4 linked regions of the Rhinolophus ferrumequinum genome follow. The protein of the gene in region 1 interacts with the protein of each later gene in a biochemical or structural test. Links are inferred from orthologs where the notes say so. Each region holds a gene or a part of one and is shown on either strand. Other genes may lie near its edges.

Evidence for each region. The genes of interacting proteins can lie anywhere in the genome.
Region 2: the proteins of histone H2A type 2-C (region 1) and UBR2 form a complex in vitro, tested with the Homo sapiens proteins (2 studies listed by BioGRID, with this or other methods). The link is inferred for Rhinolophus ferrumequinum from reciprocal best matches to the Homo sapiens genes H2AC20 and UBR2.
Region 3: of the proteins of histone H2A type 2-C (region 1) and RNF8, one has a biochemical effect on the other in vitro, tested with the Homo sapiens proteins (2 studies listed by BioGRID). The link is inferred for Rhinolophus ferrumequinum from reciprocal best matches to the Homo sapiens genes H2AC20 and RNF8.
Region 4: of the proteins of histone H2A type 2-C (region 1) and KAT2A, one has a biochemical effect on the other in vitro, tested with the Homo sapiens proteins (2 studies listed by BioGRID). The link is inferred for Rhinolophus ferrumequinum from reciprocal best matches to the Homo sapiens genes H2AC20 and KAT2A.

What each region holds. Positions count from the first base shown.
Region 1 is NC_046305.1:50,348,025-50,352,861, reverse strand, and holds histone H2A type 2-C, read right to left. Parts: upstream 947-4,837; 5' UTR 911-946; coding exon 521-910; 3' UTR 520-520; downstream 1-519. Other genes in the region: histone H2A type 2-B, read left to right, coding at 1-360; histone H2B type 2-E, read left to right, coding at 1,240-1,620. UniProt on the Homo sapiens protein: Core component of nucleosome. Nucleosomes wrap and compact DNA into chromatin, limiting DNA accessibility to the cellular machineries which require DNA as a template.
Region 2 is NC_046286.1:12,147,205-12,154,151, reverse strand, and holds the start of UBR2 (E3 ubiquitin-protein ligase UBR2), read right to left. Parts: upstream 3,010-6,947; 5' UTR 2,597-3,009; coding exon 2,519-2,596; intron 1-2,518. UniProt on the Homo sapiens protein: E3 ubiquitin-protein ligase which is a component of the N-end rule pathway.
Region 3 is NC_046286.1:7,412,190-7,420,101, reverse strand, and holds the start of RNF8 (E3 ubiquitin-protein ligase RNF8), read right to left. Parts: upstream 3,010-7,912; 5' UTR 2,868-3,009; coding exon 2,757-2,867; intron 1-2,756. UniProt on the Homo sapiens protein: E3 ubiquitin-protein ligase that plays a key role in DNA damage signaling via 2 distinct roles: by mediating the 'Lys-63'-linked ubiquitination of histones H2A and H2AX and promoting the recruitment of DNA repair proteins at double-strand breaks (DSBs) sites, and by catalyzing 'Lys-48'-linked ubiquitination to remove target proteins from DNA damage sites.
Region 4 is NC_046304.1:37,969,328-37,976,602, forward strand, and holds the start of KAT2A (histone acetyltransferase KAT2A), read right to left. Parts: upstream 3,010-7,275; 5' UTR 2,986-3,009; coding exon 2,551-2,985; intron 2,418-2,550; coding exon 2,294-2,417; intron 1,951-2,293; coding exon 1,805-1,950; intron 1,699-1,804; coding exon 1,609-1,698; intron 1,323-1,608; coding exon 1,141-1,322; intron 1,052-1,140; coding exon 860-1,051; intron 1-859. Other genes in the region: HSPB9 (heat shock protein beta-9), read left to right, coding at 4,151-4,633; RAB5C (ras-related protein Rab-5C), read right to left, coding at 6,275-6,390, 6,922-7,015. UniProt on the Homo sapiens protein: Protein lysine acyltransferase that can act as a acetyltransferase, glutaryltransferase, succinyltransferase or malonyltransferase, depending on the context.

The DNA.
Region 1 (4,837 bases):
CGCGCCAAGGCCAAGTCGCGCTCGTCACGCGCAGGCCTGCAGTTCCCGGTGGGGCGAGTGCACCGCCTGCTGCGCAAAGGCAACTACGCGGAGCGGGTGGGGGCCGGTGCCCCCGTGTACCTGGCGGCCGTGCTTGAATACCTGACCGCGGAGATCCTGGAACTGGCGGGCAACGCCGCCCGAGACAACAAGAAGACTCGCATCATCCCTCGCCACTTACAACTAGCCGTGAGAAATGACGAAGAACTCAACAAATTACTCGGGGGTGTCACTATCGCCCAGGGAGGTGTCTTGCCTAACATCCAGGCAGTTTTGTTGCCTAAGAAAACGGAGAGTCACAAACCTGGCAAGAACAAGTAATTCAGATGGTTGACACCCGTCCTCCCCCCCCCAAAAGGCTCTTTTAAGAGCCACTCGAGTGTCAAATGAGGGGCTGACCACAACAGCGCATTAGCTCTTTTTTTGAAAACTTGGGTGGCTCTAAAAAGAGCCTTTGATCTTTGGTTTACTTTGTCACATTTTATTTGCTTTTGGCTTTGTGGCTCTCGGTCTTCTTTGGTAATAGAACTGCCTGAATGTTGGGCAGAACGCCGCCCTGGGCGATGGTGACTTTGCCCAGCAGCTTGTTCAGTTCCTCGTCGTTGCGGATGGCCAGCTGCAGGTGACGAGGGATGATGCGCGTCTTCTTGTTGTCTCGGGCGGCGTTCCCCGCCAGCTCCAGGATCTCCGCGGTCAGGTACTCGAGCACGGCCGCCATGTAGACGGGCGCGCCAGCCCCCACCCGTTCCGCATAGTTACCCTTGCGCAGCAGACGGTGCACTCGCCCCACCGGAAACTGGAGACCAGCCCGGGACGATCGCGACTTGGCCTTAGCGCGAGCTTTGCCTCCTTGTTTTCCACGACCAGACATGACTACACACAAAACCAACTGTTCTAAATCTCAGAACCTCGCACCGAAACAGGACTGAAAAATCAGCACTTCGAAAGCCTTTATAAGCTTTCCTAGGGGAGGGGTCAGGAATGAGTTTTTCATTGGTTCTAAATTGGCTCCAGAAACGACCAATTGGGTCAAGAGTCAGTGTCGTTACGTAGCTACTACTGGAAACGCCAGGTCCCTGCGTAGCCCAATAGAAACGAAAGACTTCTGGAGTCCTAATTTGCATACAGTGGTTATAAAAGGATCATGCCCGCCCATTATCTCATTCCTTTTCTTTACCAAGCTGTGTTGTGTGTTTGATAATGCCTGAGCCGGCAAAATCCGCTCCCGCGCCTAAGAAGGGTTCGAAGAAGGCAGTCACCAAAGCCCAGAAGAAGGATGGCAAAAAGCGCAAGCGCAGCCGCAAGGAGAGCTACTCCATCTACGTGTACAAGGTGCTGAAGCAGGTGCATCCCGACACCGGTATCTCGTCTAAGGCCATGGGTATCATGAATTCTTTCGTCAACGACATCTTCGAGCGCATCGCCGGCGAGGCCTCCCGCCTGGCGCATTACAACAAGCGCTCCACCATCACGTCCCGGGAGATCCAGACGGCCGTGCGCCTGCTGCTGCCCGGGGAGCTGGCCAAGCACGCCGTGTCCGAGGGCACCAAGGCCGTCACCAAGTACACCAGCTCCAAGTGAGTCCCTGCCGGGACGCGGCGCTCCCATGAGTGGCCAGCCGCTTGACTCCAAAGGCTCTTTTCAGAGCCACCCACCTACTCAGAAAAGAGCTCTCTGCGTTCATCTTTTCATAAGTTATGTTAGGATAAAGATCGCGGAACACATACGTTTTTAAGCTTTCCTGCTTTGAGGTTCCGCCTACGTGACTTGGCTCTTGAATGTAGGGCACGTCTTTAACCCGTTCCTGTGCTTTTTGCTTTTCCTGAATCAGGTCTAAATTAGTATCGGGAATCTGCTCCTACTCCGGCCCCAGACGTCTTGGTGGCTCTGTTGGGTATATTTTATTGGCGTTTTAAACGAAGTGATTTCGGTCATGTTCATTTAAGAAAGTGTCCCAGGACAAAACTAAGCCCGGGTCTCGCGGACACTGCGTCACAGCCAGGAAGGTTTCTCCCGAGAATTCGGCAGCTGCTTGGGTGCTGATCCGTTGTGTCCTGCGATGTGGCCTCCTTTGGACACCAGCGATTCCGAGCACTTCCGGCGGAGTCTGCGCTTCCAAGGTCCCAGCCCTTCTCTGATTGGACAACGTGAATATTCAAAATCCCGCGCCGCCCCTCGGAATTAATAGATTCTGGTTTCTGCTGCTCACTTTGCGGCTTTGAAATCCCTATTGTTTCTCGTTCTTGTGTTTCATTTTTGCTTTTAATTTTCTCAAAAGGTTCTGGACTCGGGTCACTTAAAGGCACTGGTCATTTAGGTCTGGGTTCAAATTTAACCTCTCAGACCTTCCCAAGTTATCCACTCAGGAATTTGCGCTCCTCATTCCTGCCTGTCCTGGTCCTTCACTGTTTTATCTTCCTCATAGCAGCCGTCAGAAATTTTCTCTTTCGTTTATTTTGTTTATGTTTTTTCTTATGCCCTTAACAGAGACTTTGCTGGTCTGTTTTTTGGCTATATCGCCAAAGCCAATCAGTACCTGGCACATAGTGGACACTTAAATACTTACTGATGTTAATATTTGTTAAATTTTTTTATCGCACCCTTTTCTTCTAATCACTTCCATGGATGGGTGGATGGGTGCGGTTCATTTCCATTAGATGTATGTGAAGACATGAAAATGGAAATGTTTTTGGAGCTCCTTCCCCAAGGCTGTCGTCCATGGTCACCTCGGGGCAACACCTGAGAGGAGGCCCATGTTAAGATTCTTTTTTGCTGGAAAGAGGACGTGGCAATGGTAGGTCTTCCTTTTACTCTAACGCTTCTCAGTTTAGCGTAATCTCTTGGGTTTTCAGTACATTGAGAGTTGGTCACTGGAAAGGCCCTTTTCCCTTCTTTTCTGCCCCACTCCCTGCACCCATCCTCTGTTCCACACTGAGATGAGCTTTAATTTGCACTTAGCCATCTCATTTGTTTTTCGAAGACCACGTAAGACAGACAATCTGTATGATATGCAAGGTTAATATGCTACCTTTTACAAATGAGGTTGAGAGAAGCAAAGTGATCGGTCCACTGGTCATGCAGCTAACATTGTCCACTTCTGTCTCCCGAGAACTGAGGACAGTTGCAATTTAGTTTTATTTTGTGTAATTACAGAATGTTGAATCTCTGTCTAAACCTTGATTTTGCTGATAAAGACACTGATGGTCTGATCAGGTACTCAACTCTGCTTTTGCCTAAGGGGTCCTGGAGCCCACTGTAAGGGTTTCATGAATCCAAATGGACTCCAGACATTATCATAGACTGAATAAATCTTGTTTCCTACATGTGTGTTTTCAGATGTGTGTAGAGGATATGGTTATTAATAAAGTTACCAGTTAATTTAAAATTCTTTTATCTGCAATATATTTCTAACTAAATGAAATTAGCAGATCCAACCACTACTGGGTCTGTGGGAAAGCTTGGAGGATGAATATTTATAAGCCACCAATTAACCAAACTTACTTGTAGCTCAGAGGTGCATTGGGCTAGCCTGTTATGAGGACACTTAATGCTTAGTAATTGAAAAATACATGATCACAAATAAGCATTGTAAACAAGATGGAAGAAATAAAGTCCTTACAAAATTTTAGCCTACAGAGCACTTACGATGGGCCACATAATGTTCTAGGCCCTTTACACATTCTGACTCATTTAATCCTCATAAGAACCTCATAAAGTAGTTACCATTATTATCTCCCATTTTATAGATGATGAAACTGGCACAGAGAGCCTTCTTCTCTGAAACTCTCCAGAGGATAAATTCCTAGTTCAGTGTTTAAGGGACTTGAGAAAATCAGGTAACTGAAATCCTGGGTGTCTCCCTGGATTCTAGGGGGGAATATCTGTGGTTTAAAATTAAATAAATGTCACCTGGTTTTATTCTCTTCAGAATGCACCCTGAATATATACCTATGCTGGTGGTGGCCTTGAGAATGGGATTGGGGGGTGCTCTGGTTCTCCATTCCAGAGGCCATAGCTCAACGCAATTTAGTTTGTCCTCAGTGGTGGGACTTACCAGCTGGAATCCCTTCGCTAACAGGAGGTAACATTAGTTGCTGGTTGTGCGCTCCTCCAGGGCATGGTGTTTACTACCAGTGAAGTTAGAGTGAGGAAGGGGTTAGAGGTGATAGAGTTTGGTATTTCAGCTCTAGAAGGGAGTTAATTAGTAATGGTAAGATGACTCCTCCTAAATAACCTCTTGGATCACTTTTATCTCCTGCTCAAACATCTGTATACATTTTCTGATGTTGGGGTCAATAATTGTTATAATTCCTTCTACTTATTGAGCACCGAACTATTTACCTGGTCTCTGCCAAGTGATTTACATGCATTGCCTAATTTAATCTTAAACAGCCACTATTTAAGATAGGTGATTGTTATCATCCTTACTTTATAGAGAAAGGAAACTGACTCTCGGAGAAGGTAAATAACTTGTCCAGGAAAATAACTTGTCCAGGATTGTTTAGGGAGTAACTGTTGAAACTGCAGTCCAATGCATGATTTGAAAAAGCTTAATATGCAAGGCCCTCTTTTTTTTTTTTTTTTTTAATTTTCTGCTCTAGTTAAAATGGTCTCTTTACCTTCCCCTAAACCTACGTTTTCTTTCCTAGGTCGGTACTGGACTGCACTGCATCTTCCTTCTGTCTTGGCCAGGGCTTTTTCTCAAGCCAAGCCCATATCTTCCAGCTCAAATGACACCTCTTAACTCATTTCTCTACCATACCCACTTCTACTTTTGTAAAAAACAATTTTATTGAGG
Region 2 (6,947 bases), on another chromosome or scaffold:
ATCTTGAAAATCTGGTTAAGTGAAATTTACAAGAAATGTCCTGAATTGGAAAATCTATGGAGATAATTGTGTATTTGAATTACATATAAAATTCAAACATTTTAAAGCAAAAAAATAACCAATAGATACAAACCTACATAAAACTTCTATAAGAATATGTATTTCTTTAATACTCGGGGAAAAACGATATATTAACTTCTTAAATCCTAATCATCCACTGGAACACATTATAATCAAATCCATGGGAGCATGCAACGTAGACTTGAGAAGTGTTGGGAAAGTCATACTTGTGGAATCAATTCTACCAAGAAAAAGAGAAAACTGAGAAGGGAGGGCCACTTTAATATCCTAAACTTAGTTATTGATGAGAACACTTTTATCTGTGAGGCATACTAGTTAAAAGTCTTTCTTCCTCATAATAGAAGAGAAGCAGTGTATAAACAAAGTGTGGGGAAAATGACACTAGTGCTTATTAAGTAATTTTAAATAGATGTGATCCCAACAAACTACCAGTAACAGAGGTCTAAAGGCTGCAATAGCTGCTTTCTTTACTCGTTTACCCTCTCTAGAATTTACTTCTAACCTGAGAAAACTTTATTCATTCATTTTAATTTGTGATAAAGAGCCATCCTGGAGCCTAGGCTAAAAGAATCGTTTTAAGTGTTACGCTGTTTTAACTAAATACAGACAATAAACCCTTCACAAAGAAAGGCCGGGTTATGTAGCTGGAAGAACCTTACGTTTTAATATTAGTTTTCAATCTTCTTTAAGGAATTTTGTTAGCCTTCAGACTAAACATTTTTTTTTCATCTTTTTGTTCAGAAAACCATTTAAAAGTAAACAGCAAAAGTAAAACGTACCTCCTCACAAACTCAAATTAGGTCCAAGTTAATAAATTTTTATTGCATTTCCCTTGCTGCATCTGCTTGAGAATTTCACTGCACAAGAACTAGGAGCATTGATTGGTCTCTGCCACAGATCTCATCAGGAACCTCAACAAATTGCAACTTGAATCACTTGGTTGGTAGTTTGCACTTTTAGAATTGGGAAAATAAGAGTGCATAGCCTGTATCACTGGGCCAACACTCACAAAATTCGATGGAAGTAAAAAAAAAAAAATTACTTGGAGGTAAATCACAGATTGGATCTCAATAAGGATCTTAATAGGGGGCCACAGGGATAGAGAAAATCCTGATTACCATTTTACTGTTTACTTGTAACACTGCTTTCATTTTCTTTTCCAAATCTCTGATAAATGAAAGGCTGGTGGGGACTGAAAAGCCTTGGGTTATTGCAATATTAAGCAGCAAGTAAATGAAAACAGACCTAGACTAAACAAGTTGGTTTAAACAAAACAAGCAAGGGCTTTTCACCTCTCCTGTCACTTATTCCACTCTGACTTTAGTGTCCTCATCAATTCACCCAAAATAACTTCTCACTAGCTCCACAGTGCCCCACTAAAATTTTGTTCATAACATTCAAATTGTTGACTTATGTTCAAAGGTCACTCCCTTCCTAGTAGCTTTTTAAATCCAAGGCTTTAGAGGAGGGGCCGAAGTTGTTTTGGTCCATTCATAATCATTCGGGACAATCTGTTCCAATGGCTGATCCCAGTTCTTGAAGGCAGATGCCATCGAGTTTATTCAAGTAATCATTGTACAACTCTGTGCCTTACACAAGCACGTTCATGTTACAGTTTCAGTCCAATACTGGGTTGGAAAGGTTTAAGTTTGGAGCATAACTGCTCCCGCTATGCTGTGACCAAACCTCACATTACTAACTTCTGTAATATTTGGTGAAAGCTGCTCTCCCCAAGTTATATAACGTTTGTTCTCCACCCAACGACCCCCAACTCCTAGAAGAATGATATTTTGGCTCTCCCAGCCTCCACTACTTTCTTCCCCTCAGTCGAGACACGGCTTTCCGCACATTCATCAGTGCTGTCGCCTGAGCGAACCGGCGTCCACACGCACGGACGAGGGGGACGAGGGACAACTGTGTCGCCTGCATCCTTTGATGCTCAGGGCCGTCCCGGAAACAAAGTAGGGGCTTGGTGAAGGCAGCATGTTTCGGTGGAGGAGCCCAGGCTCCGCTTATCTCAGGAATAGGCATCACAAAGATAAAGGAGGACGGCTGTACCCCAAACACCAGGAAGTGCCTTTCCCTGCCCTATTCCAGGACCCGGCATACAGGGCAAAAGCCCTGTGTTGGGGACTTAAGGGGACTGTGGGGGGAAAGTGGGATAATGGAAGAGCTGTTGGTTCTCCTGGGCAGACAAGGAATGTAAAGGTGGCTGGTGCACAGAGCAAGCTGCGGGCTAGCCGAGGATAAAGAGGGGAAGATGGGGAAGGATCGGTGGCCTCCCCCGGCTGCTCCCCAGCAGGGGAGGCCGGGGAGCCCCGCGCAGTGGTTACCCCAAGTGAGAGCCGGGGCCGCTCCAGGATTTCCAGGAGTCGTTTCCTCCCACGGGGCTCGGCCTGCAGGGGACAGACGTCCCTGCCCGGGTCCCAGCACTCACCCCCGCGGTCTCCTCAGCCGAACATTCCAGCAAACTCCGGTCGATGGCCGGAACCTCCGGCTCCAGCTCCGACGCCATCTTCCCTCCTCCTCCTCCCCAGCGCTGACGCCGCTACCGCCGCCCCAAGGGCCGCGGCCTCGCCACAGCCCCGGCGACCGATATCGCCTCCTCTGCCCCAGGCAGTCGGTCCGGAATCGTCCAGGCGGCGGCGGGTGGAGAAGCCGGGAGAGTAAGTAGCGGGAGGTAAGCCGGCCAGCGAGGGACGGCGGCCCCTTGCGCTCCCTCCCCGGCTCAGCGCCCAAGAAGAGTCAAGTCACTGCCTTGTCCCTGCCCCGGGGAAGGACACGGAGCACCACAGGCCTGGCACTCGCTCGCTGCTACCGTGTCCCGCACCGGGAAAGCGGCAATAACACCCAAGAGGGGAAGCAAAGTTTTCTGGGAACTGTAGTCCGCCGCGGCACAGCCAGGAAGCAGCGGAGCCCTTCCAGGCTACGCCCACGAAGGCCTTGTGTGAGTTGTAGTCCATCTCCTAACGAGAGAACGGGCAAGGGTCGATGAGCGGGCGGGGCTTTTCTATTATAGAATCCTGGGACGAGAATAATGGAAAGAAGCCACCACCTGGGAAAAGGCGGAAGAGCAAGGTATTGTGGGAACTGTAGTTTTATTCCCCAAAACCCCATTTGTTCATTTTTGTAGCCCCAGATTCTAGGGCAGTGCCTGGCACGTGGTGGACACTGGAGTATTTTTCAAAGCCTCGTATATGGTATATGGTAGGCACTCAAATACTTCTCGGATAATTGAATGAATTCCATTCTACTCCTATAGTTCTAGATCCCTGTCATTCATCATCCCGTCATCCTTTAGACTCATCATCAAGGTGAACATTACCCTGGTTTGTGAAGGTTTTAAAACATATTTAATTGCTATTAAAGAAAACATTTCTGAACAATTTGGTTATTACCACTTATCAAAATTTATTACAAATCTTGCTGCAAAGGAAAGGAGTCTAGCAAACCGATTCTAAGTTGTATTCTTGATAGGAACGTTTTACAGAAATAGATAATCCTTAGATTAGATACAAAAGAAAATTATGTTTGTTTAGAGATAATTAGGCTCAGTCTTGACTGACAGTTGGATGAGTGGATTTCTTAGAACAAGTCTTCAATTCCCTTAGAATTTATCAGGAAATTCCTGACATATTTTTATCAGGCATGCTAATTTATTCTCGGAAGGAAACTGTGAATTACATTAGGGGGAAAAAAAAATTCTGAGTCAGTCCAGGTTTGGGACATGTTTCTGTTATTGTTGTTAATACTATAATATTAACCAAGTATTTTTTAAGGAAATGAAAATTGCCCATAACCTCATAGTCCAAATAAGCCTTATTATCACTTTTAAAATGAAAAGTAATATAAGATTCTAAATTCAAACCAAATAGGAATATTTTTAAAGGAAAAATAAAAAATCCCCCCTTACCCCAAATTGCTCTCCCCAAAGAAAATCATTTTTAATGCTTTCTTAGGATTCTATGCATATATCTGTGTAGATACCTAGAATAAGATTATCTTGAAATGTTCTTCTATGTGTTACTTTCTTTTTTGCCCAGCTTCCTTGCGTTGATGGACTCCCTAGTCAGAGTCAACCTGGAGGAAAACTGGGGTTGTTCCAACCTAGACGCAAAGATAACACCTCTCTAAGGCCCCTAACATAGAATTAAAGTCAGTAAAGTAGATTGTAAAGAAATTTTCTGCTCTTAACATTATTATTTTCTTCCTTCTATTGCTTTTGGATTGATTTGCAAGTTCTTTTTCTAAATTCTCGAGTTGGATGTTTGCTATTAAATTTTCTCTTTTTTTCAGTATGTACATCTAAGGCAGTGCTTCTCAAACTTGAGCATGCATCAGAATCACTGGGAAGCCTTGATAAAATACAGATTTCTGACCCCACCTTCCGAATTTCTGATTCAGTATGTTTTGGGTAGAGGCTTAACAATTGCATTTCTTTCAAATTGCTGGGTGGCCTGGGACCCAGAGGTCAAATCTGTGATTTGAGACTCACAGATTCATTAAAGCAATACATTTATATACTGCTTTAAACACATTCTGGAAATTGTGGTATATAGTATTTTCATTATCTCTCATTTCTAAATATTTTCTAATTTTATTATGATTTCTTTGGCCCATGTAATGTGTTTTAAAATTTTCAAATATGTGTGGCTTTGTTATATTACTGATTTCTCACTGTATCGTACTGTGGGCAGAAAACACCATCTATATGATATAGATTCTTTGGTATTTGATGACATTTGATTTGTGGACTCGGGTATATGGTTAAGTAACTCTTCGAGCCATTAGTTCTTCAAATATTACCTTTCTTACATTCTCTCTCTTTTTTCCTTCTGGAAGTTCTGTTTGACTTCCTTTTCTGTATTCTCCAGGACTTTTCATCTCTTTTTCATTTTTCCTGACTTAACTGTGCTACATTCTGGATATATCCTCTAGTGTGCAAATTCTCTTTTTGCCTGATATTGAACTATCTACTGAGTTTCTTTTTCTTTTTTTAAAAGATTTTATTGGGGAAGGGGAACAGGACTTTATTGGGGAACAGTATGTACTTCCAGGACTTTTTTTTTCCAAGTCAAGTTGTTGTCCTTTCAGTCTTAGTTGTGGAGGGAACAGCTCAGCTCCAGGTCCAGCTGCGGTTGCTAGTTGCAGGGGGCGCAGCCCACCATCTCCTGCAAGAGTCAAACCTGCAACCTTGTGGTTGAGAGGGAGTGCTCCAACCAACTGAGCCATCCAGGAGCTCAGCGGCAGCTCAGCTCAAGGTGCCGTGTTCAATTTTAGTTGCAGGGGCGCTGCCCACCATCCCTTGTGGGAGTCGAGGAATTGAACTGGCAGCCTTGTGGTTGAGAGCCCACTGGCCCATGTGGGAATTGAGGAGCACGGAGCTAGGAGCACGGAGCTCTAACTGCCTGAGCCACCGGCCGGCCCTATCTAGAGTTTTTATTTTCATTGACTTCATTTCTGATTTCTAGAAATTATATTCAGTTCACTTTCAAACATTCCTGTACTTTCATAATGTCTTATTATTTATTTATGGTTCTAAGTATTTGTTTTATATCTTTAATACTTTTAAATATGCTTTTTCAGTAGTGTTCATCAGAGATCTTGGGAATATAATCTTACTTTTTGTGTGTGTGTGCGCGAATCTTCATTTCAATTACTGTTTCCTTTGTGCTTTGTAATTATGAATTTTGAGATCATTTTCACTTAACGTTAGCTGTGGGACTCTTGAGAGGCCTGTCTTAAGAGCATGTACCTTCAAAATAGTTTTTCATGTGCTTCTGTAAGGTCTGGCACTCTAGAAACACCATAAACTCCGACCAGGCACTCTAGGAGTATCATATACTCAGGACCAATTTCTATGTCAGTTTCTTGGCTTTGGGGTTCCCTAATAGTATTAAATCAATTGTGTGGCATTTGTCTCTAAATTCTTAAGGGAGAGTTCTTTTTCCTACTCAGAGTCAAGGTTAAAATCTTCCTTGTCATTTCCCTCTGATGGTGAGTGAGTTTTTCTCTAGTCTGTTTTTTCACTGATGTTACATTCCTTTGAAAACCTTGGCTGTATGTAGGGATCTCAGTTTCAATTCATGTTTCTTGGACCCAAGGTCTGGTCATATGTTCCCATATGGGCATTAAAACCTAAGCTCTAGCTTTCAGTTAAATTTGGCATATTGACTACCTCCTGACAATAAAGGGGGGGCGGGAAAGAAGAAGAAGTAAGATAGACTAGGAGTGGGAATGACAGCACCAAAATTTTGGAAGATGGAAAGCAAATGGATGAGAAGTAACTGACATAGCAATTAGAGAGTGCTGAAACCTAAGCCAGCAGCAGAGCAACCCAGAATCAAGCTGATTCATGTGCAGACCACTGAAAGACTTAGAAATTTGAAGCACCACTTAATTCTGAAAGTGGGTGAAACAATGCTAAAAATAAGAATATTGTTTGAAAGTCTGTGTAGCAAGAAGTTAGATCACCCTATCTTCCAACCCTGGAAGAGACTGGAGGTTTATCTTCTGGAGAGACTATAGCTGAGGGTCTTTGGACTGGGAGAGAGCAGGCTAAGGACAGGCATGCTGAGCTAAATATTAGGACACTAATTCAAAGTCTATACGTACACTGAACAGGTTCACCCCAGTGCATTTCTCCTTCCGCTCTGAGAACACCAGTGGCTGGCTTATACCTCCCAGGCAAGAGTTTGAGAGAGTCTTCTCCAGAGAGAATGATCAACCCAAAAGAAAGAAAATGTGTCAGAGGGGTGGGACCCTATATTAGACTGCTTGGGCTGCTGTAACAGAATACCACAGACTGGGTGGCTTCAACAACAGAAATTTCTTTTCTTACAGTTCTGGAGCATGGAAGTCCAAGG
Region 3 (7,912 bases), on another chromosome or scaffold:
CAGTGTTTTTCCAGGATGCATCAGCTCCAAGTCAAGTCGTTGTTTTCAATCTAATTGTAGAGGGTGCAGCTCACTGGCCCATGTAGGAATCGAACCGGCAACCTTGGCGTTTTGAGCACTGCGCAACTAAGCCAACCGGTCGCCCCATCTGTGGTTTTCTAAAAGCTGCCCTCTTTGTTTTTGAACATCTTTCAGAATCATGCCTGTCCTCCTCAGTCCCTCAAAGACCACCATGACTCTCCTTGCCCCAATCTATTCTCCCCCACAAACTTTCATCTCAGTAACTGACATACCATCCAAACATCTGTTTAGCTCAAAACTCAGAAGCCATCTTTGATTCTTCTCTGTCCCTCATGCCCACATTCAAATCATCAGCAAATTCTACTGGCTGTAATTTAATATGTCCTAAATCTGTTCACTTCTATCTCTATGGCCACTACCTTAGTCCAAACAACTTGGCCTCCTCCTCCAGTTACGCTGTTTTTGCTCCTATACTAGCCCTCCTAAACTTAATTCTTCACACAGCAGTGGCAGTGGTAATGTAAAAATTTTAATTCAGATCATTTCCTTTCTTTCCTTAAAATTCTCCAATGATCCAAACTTCCTCCCATAGCCTATAAGGCCCTGAATGTCCTAACCCCTCCACCTCTTTAGACTTATTTCCTACCATGGTCAGAAACACTCCCTGGTACTTGAGGGTCTTTTCACCTGTCTGATCGGCTTAGGACACTGTTCTCTCAGACATGTGCACGAGCTCCTTCTCATCTTTCAAATTTCAGCTCCTCAGAGGCCTACCCTGATGACCCAATCTAAAGGTGCTACCTGTTCCTTTATGTTATTAGCATGTACTTACACAATTCAAAATTAATCTCATTTTAATTCTTTCTTTCTCCCCCTTACTAGAATATAAATTTCATGAACAGGGACCTTATGTCTTGTGTACCATTGTATTTCTGCACCTGGCATGATGCTTAGTAAATGAATGAAAGAACAAAGAGATCTTCCTTATGAGTCCTCCACATGTTTCTTCACCATTCACTCTGTTTCCTATGGTTCTCTACCCAGAGAGGTTGTCCCACACAAAATTATCCAACAGTTTAAAATATGTCCAGGAATGATTTTAGTCCTTTTGCTCTTGCTGCAGGTGCTTTAATTCTTCCTATCCTCCCCTCCCCACACCAAGACTCCCAGTGCTACAAAGCTATTCAGAAATAATAATCCACAGCAATTGAATCTGAAGAATGAGTTAACTTCTTGACCCCTAAATTGTGTGTGGGTGTGGAGTACATGAGTAGGGCTCAGATTAAGTAATTATGTGAAAGCCCAAACCCTATACAAAATATAGTTACTATTACTCAGGTGTTAGTCTCTTCTGAAACTTCCCAGACGTATATGATTTTGGAAAGGGCTGCACAGAGAAAGGTCAAGGCTCAGGCTAAAAGAATGAAGTGAGATTTGGGGGTGGAGGCGTCTTCCTGGTGTTCTCCAAATCACAGCATACAAGTAACTATAACCTTCTGATCCACAAACATTGAAGGTTGGACCTGAATCCCTCTGACTTGAGGAACCAATGCTCCAGGATGGTACTAAATAATCCACATCTTGGCACTTGATCGTACAGCTTGCCTGGATGTTCTCAGTCTCCTCCTCTGTATAAAATCCTCTTTCTTCCATTCAAACCATAAACTCTTTGAAGGCAGAAGCCATTATTTGGCTCTCTCATAGCACACTAAGCAACCTAAGTACTCGGTAAATACCTGGGAGACTAAATTGAGATTACCCAGTTTATAGGAAAAAATCTAATTAAATATACATAACAGTCAAGACTTTATTTTCCATACAAATTATTTCCAAAACCCAAATGGTTCCCTGTCACCACAAGCTGGTCCCTAATCCAGCTCTCTTCAACTCTCTCTCCTTCCTTTTCCATCACCCTCTCTAGAATCACCACCCCCGTCCTAGCGGCCCCCAAAACAAACTGCTTCAATTTTCTGCTTTAATATTTTTTTTTTGCAGTTATGACAGCATTAGCAAACAATATAAGCTGCTCCTGAAAAGGCGAGCTCTTATGTTTCTTAATTCCTACCCCCGACCCAGTTCATCGGGTGACACTCGGCAGTACCGAGACTCACAGGATAAATGTGGCCCACCCCCCCGCCCCGAGCCAATTTTCCTCAAGAATTGGAAAGGAGGCGTTTTTAAAGTTTGAGTGTTTTAAGGGACATGACCCCACACTCGCAATTGTTTTCAAAATAAATTCGAGAAAGTTCACGCTCTTGGCGCAAGTTGGGGCAACTCCGCCTCACAGTTCCGCCGCCGGGGCTGGGCCCCGCAGGGCTGCGTGCGACCCAAAATGGGGAGGTCCCATCCTCTCCCCAAACCAGTCGCCTCCTTCCCCTCGAAACCCCAAGTCTACCTCACATCCTTCTACGACCCCCTCTCGCTGTGCCCCTCCACCCGGCTCCTTCCCTCAACCCAGACTCCCGCCCTAGCTCGCCGCTCAGGCCTAGGCCGCTGTCAAAGAGGCCATCTTTTCTCCCAAACGGTCCCTACTTCCGCCAAGCACCCCCCACCTAACCCTTCCCCTCCACCACCAACCGTTCGCACCGGACCTTCTCACCCAAAGACCTTCACATCTCGCTCCTCTTCCCCGCTCCCACCTCCGCTTTTCCATTTATCCGTCCGGCCCGGACGCCTTGGATCCCTCCAGGCCCGGCCTCCTCTCACTCCCCTCCCTCAAGAGGACTCCCGCTCACCTCGTTTCCATCCTCCAGCAGCAGCCTCTCGGCGTTCATCCCCACCCGCCGCAAGCACCAGATCCGGCCACCGGCGCGGTCCCCCATAACCAAGGAGCCGGGCTCCCCCATAGCCCACTCGACCCTGGTTCTCGGTCAGTACAGAGCCAGACCTCCATCCGGGTACCCGCCGCCTTCCAGCTTCCCTGACGGCGCCATTCCTAAACAACAGACAGAAGTAATCGCTACGCGCTCGCGATCGGTGCGAACACTCGCTGGGGCTCCGCGCCCATCCCGCCCCAGGCCAGCAAGCCGGAATCACTGCGCCTGCGCGAGAGAAAGCCTGCGGCCGGGCTGGCGCTTGCGAAGAGGGAGCTACGTAACCTCAGGTGGTGTGCAGGCACCTAGCCCAGGTGGGGTGGGGGTCGGGCGAGGGATTCTTAATTCTCACGTCTGACTCTCCTCGCCTTCTCTAGAACCACCGCCCCAGTCTTTGCCGCCTCAAAAACCATCTTTTAAACAACGTTAAAGTTGCGGTAATTTTTGAATAGTAAATCTTTTCCTAAATAGCATCTATTTTGCATGACCTCCTTTTACTACTGGATTAGGGGAAAAAAAAGAGGAGAAGAAGAAACGTATACTAGGCAAATCTATCGAGGCAGAAATCAGTTACTTGGGGCTAGGTGCGGGAACAGGGATGGAATGCAAACAGACTTGAGAGAATTTTGGAAGGTGATAGAAATGTTCTAAAACTGGATTGTGGTGATGATTGCACAATTGTGTACATTTACTAAAAAGTCATTGAAGCACACATATACTTATAGTGGATGAATTTTATGGTATGTAAATTATCCTCAATAAAGCTGTTAATTTTTAAAAAAAGCTCAAAAAATAAAGAGATGGAAAAAAAGATATATATGGGGAAAAAAGAAAAGAAAAAACCCTCAAACTCCTTCTTTTGATTCCCCAATATAGTGTGATAGCTGCTCCCTGTAGTGAGTTCCTCAGTGATAACTCAACGCCCTTTTATGTCTTTTCAATTTTTCAATACGTAGTTAACAATTTTCTTAAATTTTGTCAGGAGAAAATACATACAATAAGTGAATCATAAAAACTACCATAGTAAATGGCTAACATTTATCGAGAGCTAAGTGCTAAGTATTGGGCTAAGCTCCCTACATGCTTTATCTTATTTGCTCCTCACTAACAATATAATTATAAAGGTTACAATTGTAATTTCTACTTTAGGGGTGATGTGAAAAGAGACACAGAAAGGTTTGATAATCTTCCCAAAGTAACAAAGGGTGGAGTAGGATGCTGGTTGAGGACTGTTTCCAGAACCTAATTTCCTAATCATGGTTACAACTCCAGCCTGGAGCGTTTTAAATGTGTGGCACTGTCAGATGAAGAATTGTGGCCTGTGATGTCACAAAGGGTCAGGAAACTTAGTGGGTGCCATAACTGCACTCTCACACAGATGATTCCCTAAGCTTGGATTTGTATCTGTTGGTGCCTGTACCCCACCTTAGTGCTCTGTCCCAGGAACAGCAAGTGCACCCAGAGGCCATCCTGACATTTACCTGGCATGTCTCCTTAGGCTCTTCTTGGCTGTGATAGTTTCTTAGACTTTTCTTGTTTTCGATGACCTTGGCAGTTTTGAGGAGTAGTGGCCAGGTATTTTGTAGAATGTCACTCAACTGGGATGTCTCTTATGTTTTTCTCGTAATTAGACTATGGCTATAGGTTTTGAGAAGGAAGACTACAGAGGTAAAATGCCATTCTCGTCAGATCATGTTAAGGGTAAAAGTTATCAACGCCAGTTATTGCTGTTGATGTTGATCTTGATCACGTGGCTTAGGTAGTGTAGTTACTCTTTACCCACTTTCCCCTACTCTGCTCTTTGGAGTGAAGTCATTATGCACAGCCCACATTTAAGGAGTGAGCAGTTACGCCTTACTTCCTTAAGGGCAGGTTATCCATGTAAGTTATTTGAAATTCTTCTACACAGGAGATTTGTCTTTTCTCCCCCATTTATTTATTGAATTATTTATTTATAGCAGTATGGACTCATAGATACTTACTTTATACTTTGCGTTATAATCCAATACCACTTTATTTTTTAATCAAATTGTTCCTACTTTAGCTACATTGTCCCTTTGACATACATACTCCCATCATTATGTTTTATTGAGCACTTCCTTACTTTCTGGCACAAGATCCTCTAAACCTAGAATCAGCCATTTTCCCAAGGATCCCTGGTTCCTTTTATTAGAAAATGGTATCAGAAACCAAGATCTGGGTACTAGGTGTGCTTGTTGCCGCTGGGATGTCATTACTTGTAGGCTCTCAGCTGACAGATCTAGGAAAAATATGTGTGAATACTAACCCCTTTATGTCCACATATCTATGAATATTTATGTGTGTATGCATGTATATTTTATGTATGTATGTAATAATATAAATACATATGCATATGAGCATAACAATCTTTCCATCATAGGGGTTCCAGAAAGAGGAGAAAGAAAGCAAAGGATTACTCGTAAATATACACAACTCCCCATTTCCATCTTTAATCTAAATGTGTGCATACTGATTTCTTATAACTCTAATGTATTGTCACCTGGCACCTGGATCATTCTAGTCATCCCCCTTTGCTTGTCTGTAATCCTCCACTCCAAACGTGAGAAACCTGGCTCCCACCATCGGCTATCCATTTACTTAATTATCATTTCCAGTATGTGTGCACAGGGGCTTCAGAATTGTTAACCCATACACCTGTGGGCAACAACTTTATCAACTAGAGTTAGACTACGTATGTGCAGGTATTTTGCCTTTAGTCTTACAGAATTCAATTACAGAGTTACTTAGGTCAGCACCCTTTCCCCCCACCCTCTTCAGAGAGGTTATTTTCTAGTTAGATTCTTTAGTCAAAGCCTGCATTCTATCTGAGATCCCTTGACCTCTTAGATGATTTTTTAAAATTTATGTACATTAAGGTTCACTCTTTCTAATGTAAGGTTCTATGAGTTTTGGCAAATGCATAGTGTCACACATTATACTATCATAGAGAATAATTTTAAGGCCTCTCTCCCACCCTCCCACACCTTGCTTGTTTTATTTAACAATATATCCTGGAATCAGTCCCTAGCCATATATACATGTATTCCTCCTTGCTCTTTATAGTTGTGTATTACTCCATGGTGAAGATGTACCATTGTTTATTCAACCAGTTCTTTGTTGATGTATAGTTTGAGTCTTTCCAGTCTTTCGTTATCACAAACAGCCTTACAGTGAATTAGTGGGGACCATTTTTGAGCACCTGTTACATGCTTTTATATATTATCTTACTTAATTCTCAGTTCCATCCTGCAAGATATCCCTATTAACCTATGAGGAACCTAGGTTGTCCAAGGTCTCCTTACCATTAGCTTCTTCTTCTTTTTTTTTAAATTTTACTGGGGAATAAAAGGGAACAGTGTGTTTCCCAGGGCCCATCAGCTCCAAGTTGTCCTTCAATCTAGTTGTTGAGGGCGTAGCTCAGCTCCAAGTCCAGTCGCCATTTTCAATCTTAGTTGCAGGGGGCGCAGCCCACCATCCCATGTGGGAATTGAACCGGCAACCTTGTTGTTAAGAGCTCACATTCTAACCAACTGAGCCATCTGGCTGCCCACCATTAGCTTCTTGAGGGTTGTGTCTTGTTTTCCATTGTATTCCTGACATTTTTATTGAACAAATGAATATAACTCAACTAGTAAATGGCAGTGCAGGGAACTAAAGCCAAGACTGTAAGCCTGGACTTATCTAGCCCCTAAGGCAGCACTCATTACCGTCTTTCAGTACTCTCTAAGGTGGTATGGCCATATCCCAGAGAGTACACAAGATGATCCATTTTCTTGTGGAAAGAATGTATCAGGATGTCTAATTAGGTTTTTATCCCATTCTTTTAAATATGTCACTTTTGTGAATATTTTGTACTTACATAAAAGAACAACATAGAGGATAGTATGTATAGACTTTATATGAATAAATAAATAAATATGCATATATATTGGGCTGTGCTCAGATTTTGTTTTGTTGCTAAGAGTACATGATCAAAACAGTTTGGAGACACTGCCTTCTAAGATTTGGGGATTTTATTAACTCTATTGCCCCTATATATTCCCTTATAACAGTGATTCTCAACTGGGGGTGATTTTGCCCCCCAGAGGATATTTGGCAATGCCTGGGGATGTTTTTGATTATGACAGAGGCAAGGGTACTACTGGCATCTAGTGAATAAAAGGCAGGGATGCTGCAAAACATTCTACAAATTACAAGATCGCCCCCACCATGGAATTATCTAGTCCAAAATGTCAGTAGCAGTAAGGTTGAGAAACCTTGCCTTACAGTCATCTCAAGAAGGAAAACTGGAAGGGAAGGGGAGCAGAATGTAGAAAAGCAAGTAGGGTGTTCTCTATAGCTGTGGATCTGACACATGTCTCGTTACATACACTCAAGTTGAGGAATGTTGGAGTTGAAAATGGAGAAGCTTGGGAAGGGGAAAAGGAAAATGACAAGAGGAGGAAGCACATGGCAAGATGAAAAGGAAAGGGGGAGAGAAAGGTGGAAAGAAAGTGTGGCAGATTATTTTCCAAGATGAATACAACAAGATCACCATGCCACGTGCTCTTACAAGGTGACCTTGACACTCCTCACGTTGCAAGATGGTGTCTATACTTCCTCCCCTTGAATCTAGGTGGGCATGTGACTCCAGGAGAAGTGATGCTATGCCATTAAAGGTGTTACAGCTTCCACCTGGCCTTTGGGGGACGCTCTTGGAACCCAGTCAGCTTCCTCCTCGTGTCATTTTCCTTTTCCCCTTCCCCAAGCTTCTCCATTTTCAACTCTAACATTCCTCAACTTGAGTATATGTAATGAGACGTATGTCAGATCCACAGCTATAGAGAACACCCTACTTGCTTTTCTACATTCTGCTCCCCTTCCCTTCCAATTTTCCTTCTTGAGATGACTGTAAGGAAGTGGAGAGAACACATGAAGAGGATGTTCTGACAGCTCCAACGGAGGTCCCAACAGACATCCAGCATCAACTGCCAGACACGGGAATGAAGGTTCCTCTAGACAATACCAGGCCTCTGAGCATGAGTCACCCCGGCCTTTTGCCTCTTTCCAGCTGAGGT
Region 4 (7,275 bases), on another chromosome or scaffold:
ACAGTCTGTCCCACACTCTGTCCAACCAAGGGACCAGCCTGGGCCAGACACCGGGGCACTGGACGTGGATCAAAGAAACAGATCCTGTTCTCAGGAACTGGGAGCCTAAGAACAGAGACAACTTCTGCCTTCAGATTAGGGGGAGGCACAGTCCTCCTCCTTCTGGGAGACCCTCATCGAAGGCAGAAGGGCAGTACAAAATCCAAGACAGAGACCAGAGGCCCAGTCTGCCAGTGCACAGATGAGGGAGACAGGAGCTGAACTGGCACCGTCCTGTACTATGTGGCCAGACAGGGCACCAAGTCACGCTCGTCCTCAGCGCCAAAATAGGGCCCAGAATCCACCCCTTCCTGCCACCTTATTCCCATCTGGGGGCAGAAGGGGCACTGGAGGCCCTGGATTAGTCAGTAAAAGCTTCTTGAACTGGACAGCTATGAGCACGTTTAAAATGAGAAGAAGGTGTGGCAGAACAGAGAAAAATCTTACTGAAAGAACTAGGAGTGGAAACTGGTTTTACCTCAAGCGTAAACTCTGGTCTTTTGAAGTGTTGTGGTAGAAAGGATTCTGAGGCTGTGTCCAGGCCCCATGGAAACAATTAGTAACGTCTACCAGGGGTGTGGACAGGGCTAGTGTTAGCACTCAGGCCATGTACCTGCCATCCCCAGCCTAATACACACAAAGGCAAATGCTAGCAAGTTGTGTCTGGCCCATGGGCACATCTGCCAGGTAGATGCCCAGATCCCAGAAGGCTCATGGAGGGAGAGGAAGGACCAATCCAGGAAGCCTTCCTAGAAAAAAGGGGACATCAGGGAGGATGTGAACTCGGGGCTAAATCACGATAGACCAGAAAGAGCCTTACTTGGGGAAGTGGGTGAGGATAAGGGTTCTCTTCTCGGGCACCAGCTTGTCCTTCTCCACCCGGAACTTCTCTAGCAGTTGCCGCCGGGTAACAGTGAAGATGGAGCGGAGAAGGCTTCGCCCAAAGACATGAGTGGTCTCGTAGCGGGGGAGGCTATCGCAGCTCTGGGGCACGTGGCAGTAACAGAGCCATCTGCAGGGAGTGCGGAAGTGGCAAGTGAGAGTGGAAACCACCGAACTCAGGCTGGGCCTACAAGCTCCCCCCAGGCTGGCTGGGCCTACCTGGTGTAATTGACCTTGTAGGTTGCCACGTCCTCCGCCTGAGACCTCTGCCGAAATTGGGCAGGCGTCTCAAGCTTCCAGTAGTTAAGGCAGAGCAGGAACATCTTTGAGAGCTCAAACATCGTCTGCCGTTCCCGAGGAGCCAGGTGACTGAACTTGTACTGCACAAAGTTTAGCACACCCTGAGAAGGGGTGGGCAGGAGACAAAACCAGGAAGGAGGTGTGAGCAGCCAGCAGGGGCTTCTTATCCCAAAATAGAGGCTTCCTAAGGGCAGCGGCAAGGCTCTCCTCTCATTCTGAAGCTCTATGTGAAGAGAAACTGTGCCCCTCCCACACACACCCTGAGGTTGGCACAACACATGTTCCCCTCTTGGAACCTCTCCCGTTCTCAGTATGATGAGGATGGAGAACACAGGCTCCCCATTCCTCCAAATGCCCCCAACTCTCTTGCCCCCTTCTTCATCCCACCTGCTCAATATTAGGCTTCTCAAATGGGGGGCTGCCCAGAGACCCCTCCACTACGGGCCGGGTCATCTGCAGGATGCATTTCCGCAGGAGCTGGAGGAAGAGGAAGAGGGAGGCGTAGAGGTCAGCAGAGCTCTGAGATGCAGACTTCCCAGCCTCAATTCCTTTGCTCGCTCACTCTCCTGCGGAGAAAGCTCACCTTGAAGAGGTAGAAATAGACCTGCTTAGTGTCTGTGTCCTCCTCCTTGTGAACAGACATGAACAGATTCTCCACGTCCACCACCATCCCCAGCAGACGGTTAATCTCATCCTCTGACACATTCTCCAAGTGGGACACGTGGTCAGCTACAAGAACAGGTGGTAGAATTGGGAAGAATAGACAGAAGACATCAACAGGGCTTTCTGGCCCTCTTCATCGCCAGCTATGATACACTCTCAGTCTCTTCAACCACTGTGACCAGCACTAAGACTGACTGCTCCTGTGTGTCAGCCCTTGGGTGACCCCTTGTTTCTTCTGAATTGGCAGATTTCCTTTCTCCTCCCTGGGGAGATACACATTCCCAACCCAATTCTTCCTTAGAAGGCATCTTAAGAGATGAAGCTCTGCGGCACTGAAGTCGTCCTCTCCAAGCAGCACCAGGCACTTGCCTCTTCCCCGCCACCAGCTCCAAGGCACTATCTGCCTTACCCAAGGGGTGCTCACAGCTGCGGCACAGCTCACTCAGGTTGGCAGCTGGCTGCTGCAGGTCCATGCGGGGTGCAGTGGGGGGCTTGGGGTTTTTCCAGCCATTACACTTGCAGGTTTCATTGGCCTGGAGGCAGAAGGATCAGTCAATAAACTTGTACCCCAGGGACGTGGAGCCGCTTCCGAGCCAGGGCTCCCATTGCCACCCGAGCCCTAGGATGTCCCAAGCCCCGCCCTCTCACCCCAGGCCCCGCCCCCACCTTGCAAGCCGAGAAGACCCCTAGCTTCTCAAGCTTCTTGGCACGCGGCAGCCCCCGGACTTGCGCCTTCCTCTGGCTGGCGCGCTGCTGCTGGCTCAGGCCAGGTCGAGCCGGATCCCCCCCGGTCCCAGTACCCCCACTTCCTACCCCGGGCCCCCCCGTCCCGGTGCTCCCGGCTGGGACTGCAGCTGGGGCGGGGGCTAGTGCCGGAGTGGGAGCCGGAGTCGGCGCCGAAGCCGGGCTGGGGGTGGGAGTCGGAGTTGGGGCAGGGGCTGGAGACTGAAGGGGACGGGGCTGCGCGGCCGGGGCCGGGGTGGAGGCCTGGGAAGGTTCCGCCATGGCCTCCCCCGCAGCGGAGCGCGGCGCAGCGCTCCCAGCCCTAGGGCCGCATGGGCAACCGGCGCTCAGTGCGCAGGCGTCGCTGCTTCGGAGCATTATGGGAGTTGTAGTCTTCCACCGCTGCTCCTTTTGCCTCCAGCTTCCAGACTTTTCTATCCTGTCTCTTGGTCCCAGACAGCCAAGAGAAGCCCAAGCCAGCACCCCAGATTGAACCCCTCTTCATTTTCAATCTCTCTTGAAGGCTTCCAGGATAGTCAAGATTGCTGTCCTCTTGGGGATAAGGAGAAGCATCCCAGAAAACAGGCTTCTGGTTGGGGGACTTCCCTCCCAAGACCCGATGGTGGACGTGCAGACCTAGCGTCTGGGGTCGAGTTGGCTTCCTGGTACATCTCCCTCCCCCCTCCATCCTGTTCCTGTCCCACATGTCTTCAGAGACAGAGTTGCAGCTACGGAGGAGATTCAGCAGCAACAATTCTAGTTCTTGATATGTGAAGTGGTTACACACGTGTATTTCTCTTTGGAATACTTCAACTGTACCCTTTTGTGTGCTTTTCTGTACGTATGTTATACTTCCACAAAAAGGGCTTATTATAAAGCAGCACCAGAGGCATGGCTGTGGTCACGAAGAAGGCTGCCAAGGAGGGTATGAAGTAGAAGCAGACAAGGGCAGAAGCCTTTCCCTACGTTTGGTAACGTCTCTTCCCCAATACCATCGGTACCTTGAGGGTTGGACCGGCGTCTTCATCTTTGTGATCCCAGAACCCAGCTGAGCCTGCCGCACAGTAGGCCCAGCATGGATAAATGAGGGAAGCCAGGAAGACTGTGTCCACCTCCCAGTCCCCAATGTGTCACAGGTTTGTGCCTGGTCAGAGAAAGGCAGGACATTCCGAGAATGGATGATCCAGTGGTCACATTCCAGTGGCTCTGTCCAAGGGACAATCTTCTTGCCCCTAGGATACCCAGTTGGGCTCCAGGCCGGCCATGGGGAGGGTCCCGAGAAGGGGCAGGATCCAGGATAAAAGCAGTAGGGGGCGCTCCAGGGTGGCTGACAACCTGACCTATGGATGTAGGACATGCGTAGCTGACCCCATACTGCCTAAGTGAAGGGAGCCCCACTGAACAGAGCTGAGCCGCGAGGAGTGGGAGTGGAGCCAAGCCAGAGTAGAGCCGCGCGTGGCGCAGGAGGGTCCCTCCTCTCCTGTGTCCTGCGTAGAGCACTACACTTGGGCCTCGCGCCCTTGAACAGCAGTTGCTCACTTGGATGCAGCGGGTCAGTAGCAGTCTTCCCAAAGGGAACCAGGTGATGTCGCGGTCCCCCAGCGTAGCCCTCGCCGAACAGAACCGAGTGGCCGTACTGCCGGTGCAGCTGCTCAGGGAAGACGTGGCAGCTGCGTGGGACGATATCCAGGTGGAGAATGGTTTCCGGATGAAGATGGATGCCCACGGCTTCACCCCAGAGGAGCTGGTGGTGCGAGTGGACGGCCAGTGCCTGATGGTGACGGGACAGCGGCAAACGGAGGGCCACAACCCGGATGGGGGGTGCTACTGCATGACAGAGAAGATGCAGCAGCAAATGCAACTACCATCATACCTGGATCCTGCAGCCATGACCTGCTGTCTGACCCCCTCGGGCCAGCTGTGTGTCCGTGGCCAGTGCCAGGCGCTGCCTTCCCCTAGAGCCCTAACAAGTCCATCTTCGAGACTCAGGAGCCCTGGCTCTAAGAAGGGTTCCAACCTAGCCTGACCCGGTAAACCACCACCCTAGTGAGCAGCTGCCTTGGCGTCTGTGGTCTTTTATCAGGGTTGGGGTCAGAGGTGGGGGTATAACGAAGGTAGAGGGAGGCAAGAAAGGCACCTCAAGGTGGTGGTCCACCAAGAATTAGGCCTTTGTGGCCCTGGTGGGAGCTGGGGGTGGGGGTTGGAGGTGTGTTGTCCTACTCAGCTCAGCTCACTGCTTGGACCAATATCCTCAACCTTTGGCAGATGAGAGCAGCAGCGCCAGCAGGGAGCAGCAGAGGGCCGGGAGGGCCAGAGTGTCACCTGGTTCCAGAACCGGCAGAGGGCTCCCCAGAGACCAGGGAGCAGATGGCTTAGACCTGGTGTGAAGCTGCTGTCTGGGCCTGACCATCGCTCAGTCCAAAGCTCCAGAGGTCATAGGTGTTTCTTCCTCTTCAGGGAAGAGGGGAAGAGGACCCAGTCCCTCACAGGCCTGGTACAGAGTAACCAAAGACCCCAGAGTTTTTTTTGGTGTTTCAGAGACCAATTATTTTCAAACCCAGACTGCAAATCACCCCAATGTAATCTGGATGGGGTGGGGGAGAGGCAAATGTAGGACCCTCTTCAAACTCGGTGAGATTCAGTTCCAAGTCACTCTTACCCCAACCCCATGCAGTAGCACCGGTAACCAAGGGCCTCTTTCTCTTGGTTACCATGAGCACCAGCATCTCCTCACTTGGGTGGGCGGGGCTTTTGTTTAACAAAATTCAGTGGTTCATTGTAAATTAACCTCAAAGTAAGCCAGAGAGGATATGGTCTGATAAGCTCTGCCAGAGAAAGACAAGCGAGACAAGCGGAGGTCGATCGATCGGCTGACTATATTGACAAGATACTGATTGGTTACATGTTGAAGAAAACATACAATACAAAATACAGAAAAAGTTGGTTCCATCCCCTCCCACTACCCCCCTTACCCACCCACCCCCAAATACTCATCATCGTGATTTGGTCAGAACAGGGCTCAGAGCCAGAGGTCGGTCAGGGTGACCAAGGACGAGGAGGGTGGGGTGGGTTGTGGGCAGTGGGTTCGTGGCTGTCACAATAATGCTGTGGTTTTTCTCCCATCTGTGAATCAGGGGTAGGAGGGTGGGGGTGGGGGGCTGCAGCCTGATGCCAGGCAGCTGAAGGGAGAGCTGCCTCTCCCTTCCCTAGCCCCAGGGCCTGCCCCACCACCCAGAACCAAGCCCACCCCAAACACGGTAAGGATGTGAAGGCTCTTGCTGACCCTGCTAATCAGCAAGAGGAAAAGAGGGTAGTTGCTCCCACCCCTGCCTCCCCATATACACGGGTGGGAGGAACAGGGGCGGTGGCTACTACCAGCAAAGGGAGAGTGGGAGAGCTGTAGAAAGGGCAGGAAGTGGGAAGAGCAGAAGATCATATATATTAAAAAAGTGACTTAAGACTTAAAATTGAATTAGTATTTGTACAGAAAGGTGCAGGTGGAATAACTCACTCCGGCCTATGATCAAAATTATATGGTGAAATCATGGTGGACCCCTCCCCCTGCCCCCGCAGTGGTGGCCCGAGGCGTTAAGTGCGATTGGTTAGAGTGGATTCCAGTCGGGTCATTCAGGCGGAGGAGGTGGGGGCAGTGGGTGGGCAAGGGGGCTCAGTTGCTGCAGCACTGGCTCCGGCTGGCTGGGTTGTTCTCCTGGAGGTCCACACCTCGGTTCCGGCCTGGGGCACCAGCTGCGTTCTGGGGCTCGTTCTTGGGGAGCTTCTTAGCTGTTTGGGAGAGGAGGGAGAAAATGTTTGTGGGGGTAGGCCAATACTGTTTCCCAAGTCCACTTGAGTAGAATCTGGCCTTTACCACCCAATCAGTAATAATGAACATACTGAGGGCTTCACTTCCATGTGTCAGGTGCATTCTGAGTGTTTCAGGAAACTGAGGCAGAGAGAGGTTCAATGACTTGCTCAAACCCAGAGTTAGTAAGTGGTAGAGCTAGGACTCAAACCCAGGCAGGATGACTCCAGAGCCAAATGGCCTAAAAAAAAATCCTAAGAAGTGGGTAGGATGGTGACACAGGGTTTTAGATGGGTGGCAAGCTAAGAGGTCAGGAAATGAAATGTTGAGACTTTGGCCCAGGCTTTAGAAACTTCTGGAGTGAACTATCTATCTCTGAGAGTCAGATGAAGAAGAAAATGATTTTATCACAATATTAAAAATGGTGAAAGATCTGGTGGTGAAGGGACCTACTACGGAGCAGCAGGCAGGTTCTACGCCCCAATGTGGGGACGGGAGGAGAGGCAGCTCACCTATTGCCATGAAAATCTCATTCACGTTCATTGCGGTCTTTGCTGATGTCTCCATGAACAGCAAACTGTTGTCGTCTGCATAGGCTTGTGCTTCCTGATTTGGATAGAGGTGAGAAAGTGGGTGGGAGGGAAGTGTTGACAGTTGGTAGGGGCTGGGGCCCAGGATAAAAAAAAATCTTCCCTGATCACAGTGCCTTATACACAATAGCAACATTGTGCAGGGGCTTTTCAGGCTGCTAGCACTCCTGCTCTGGGTTCCTCTGAGACATCTGGCCCCATACCCCCCACTCAGGTACAGCACCTCTCAGCTCACAAACACTGGCAGATGTTTTACTCAGGTTTCCCTATGTCCAT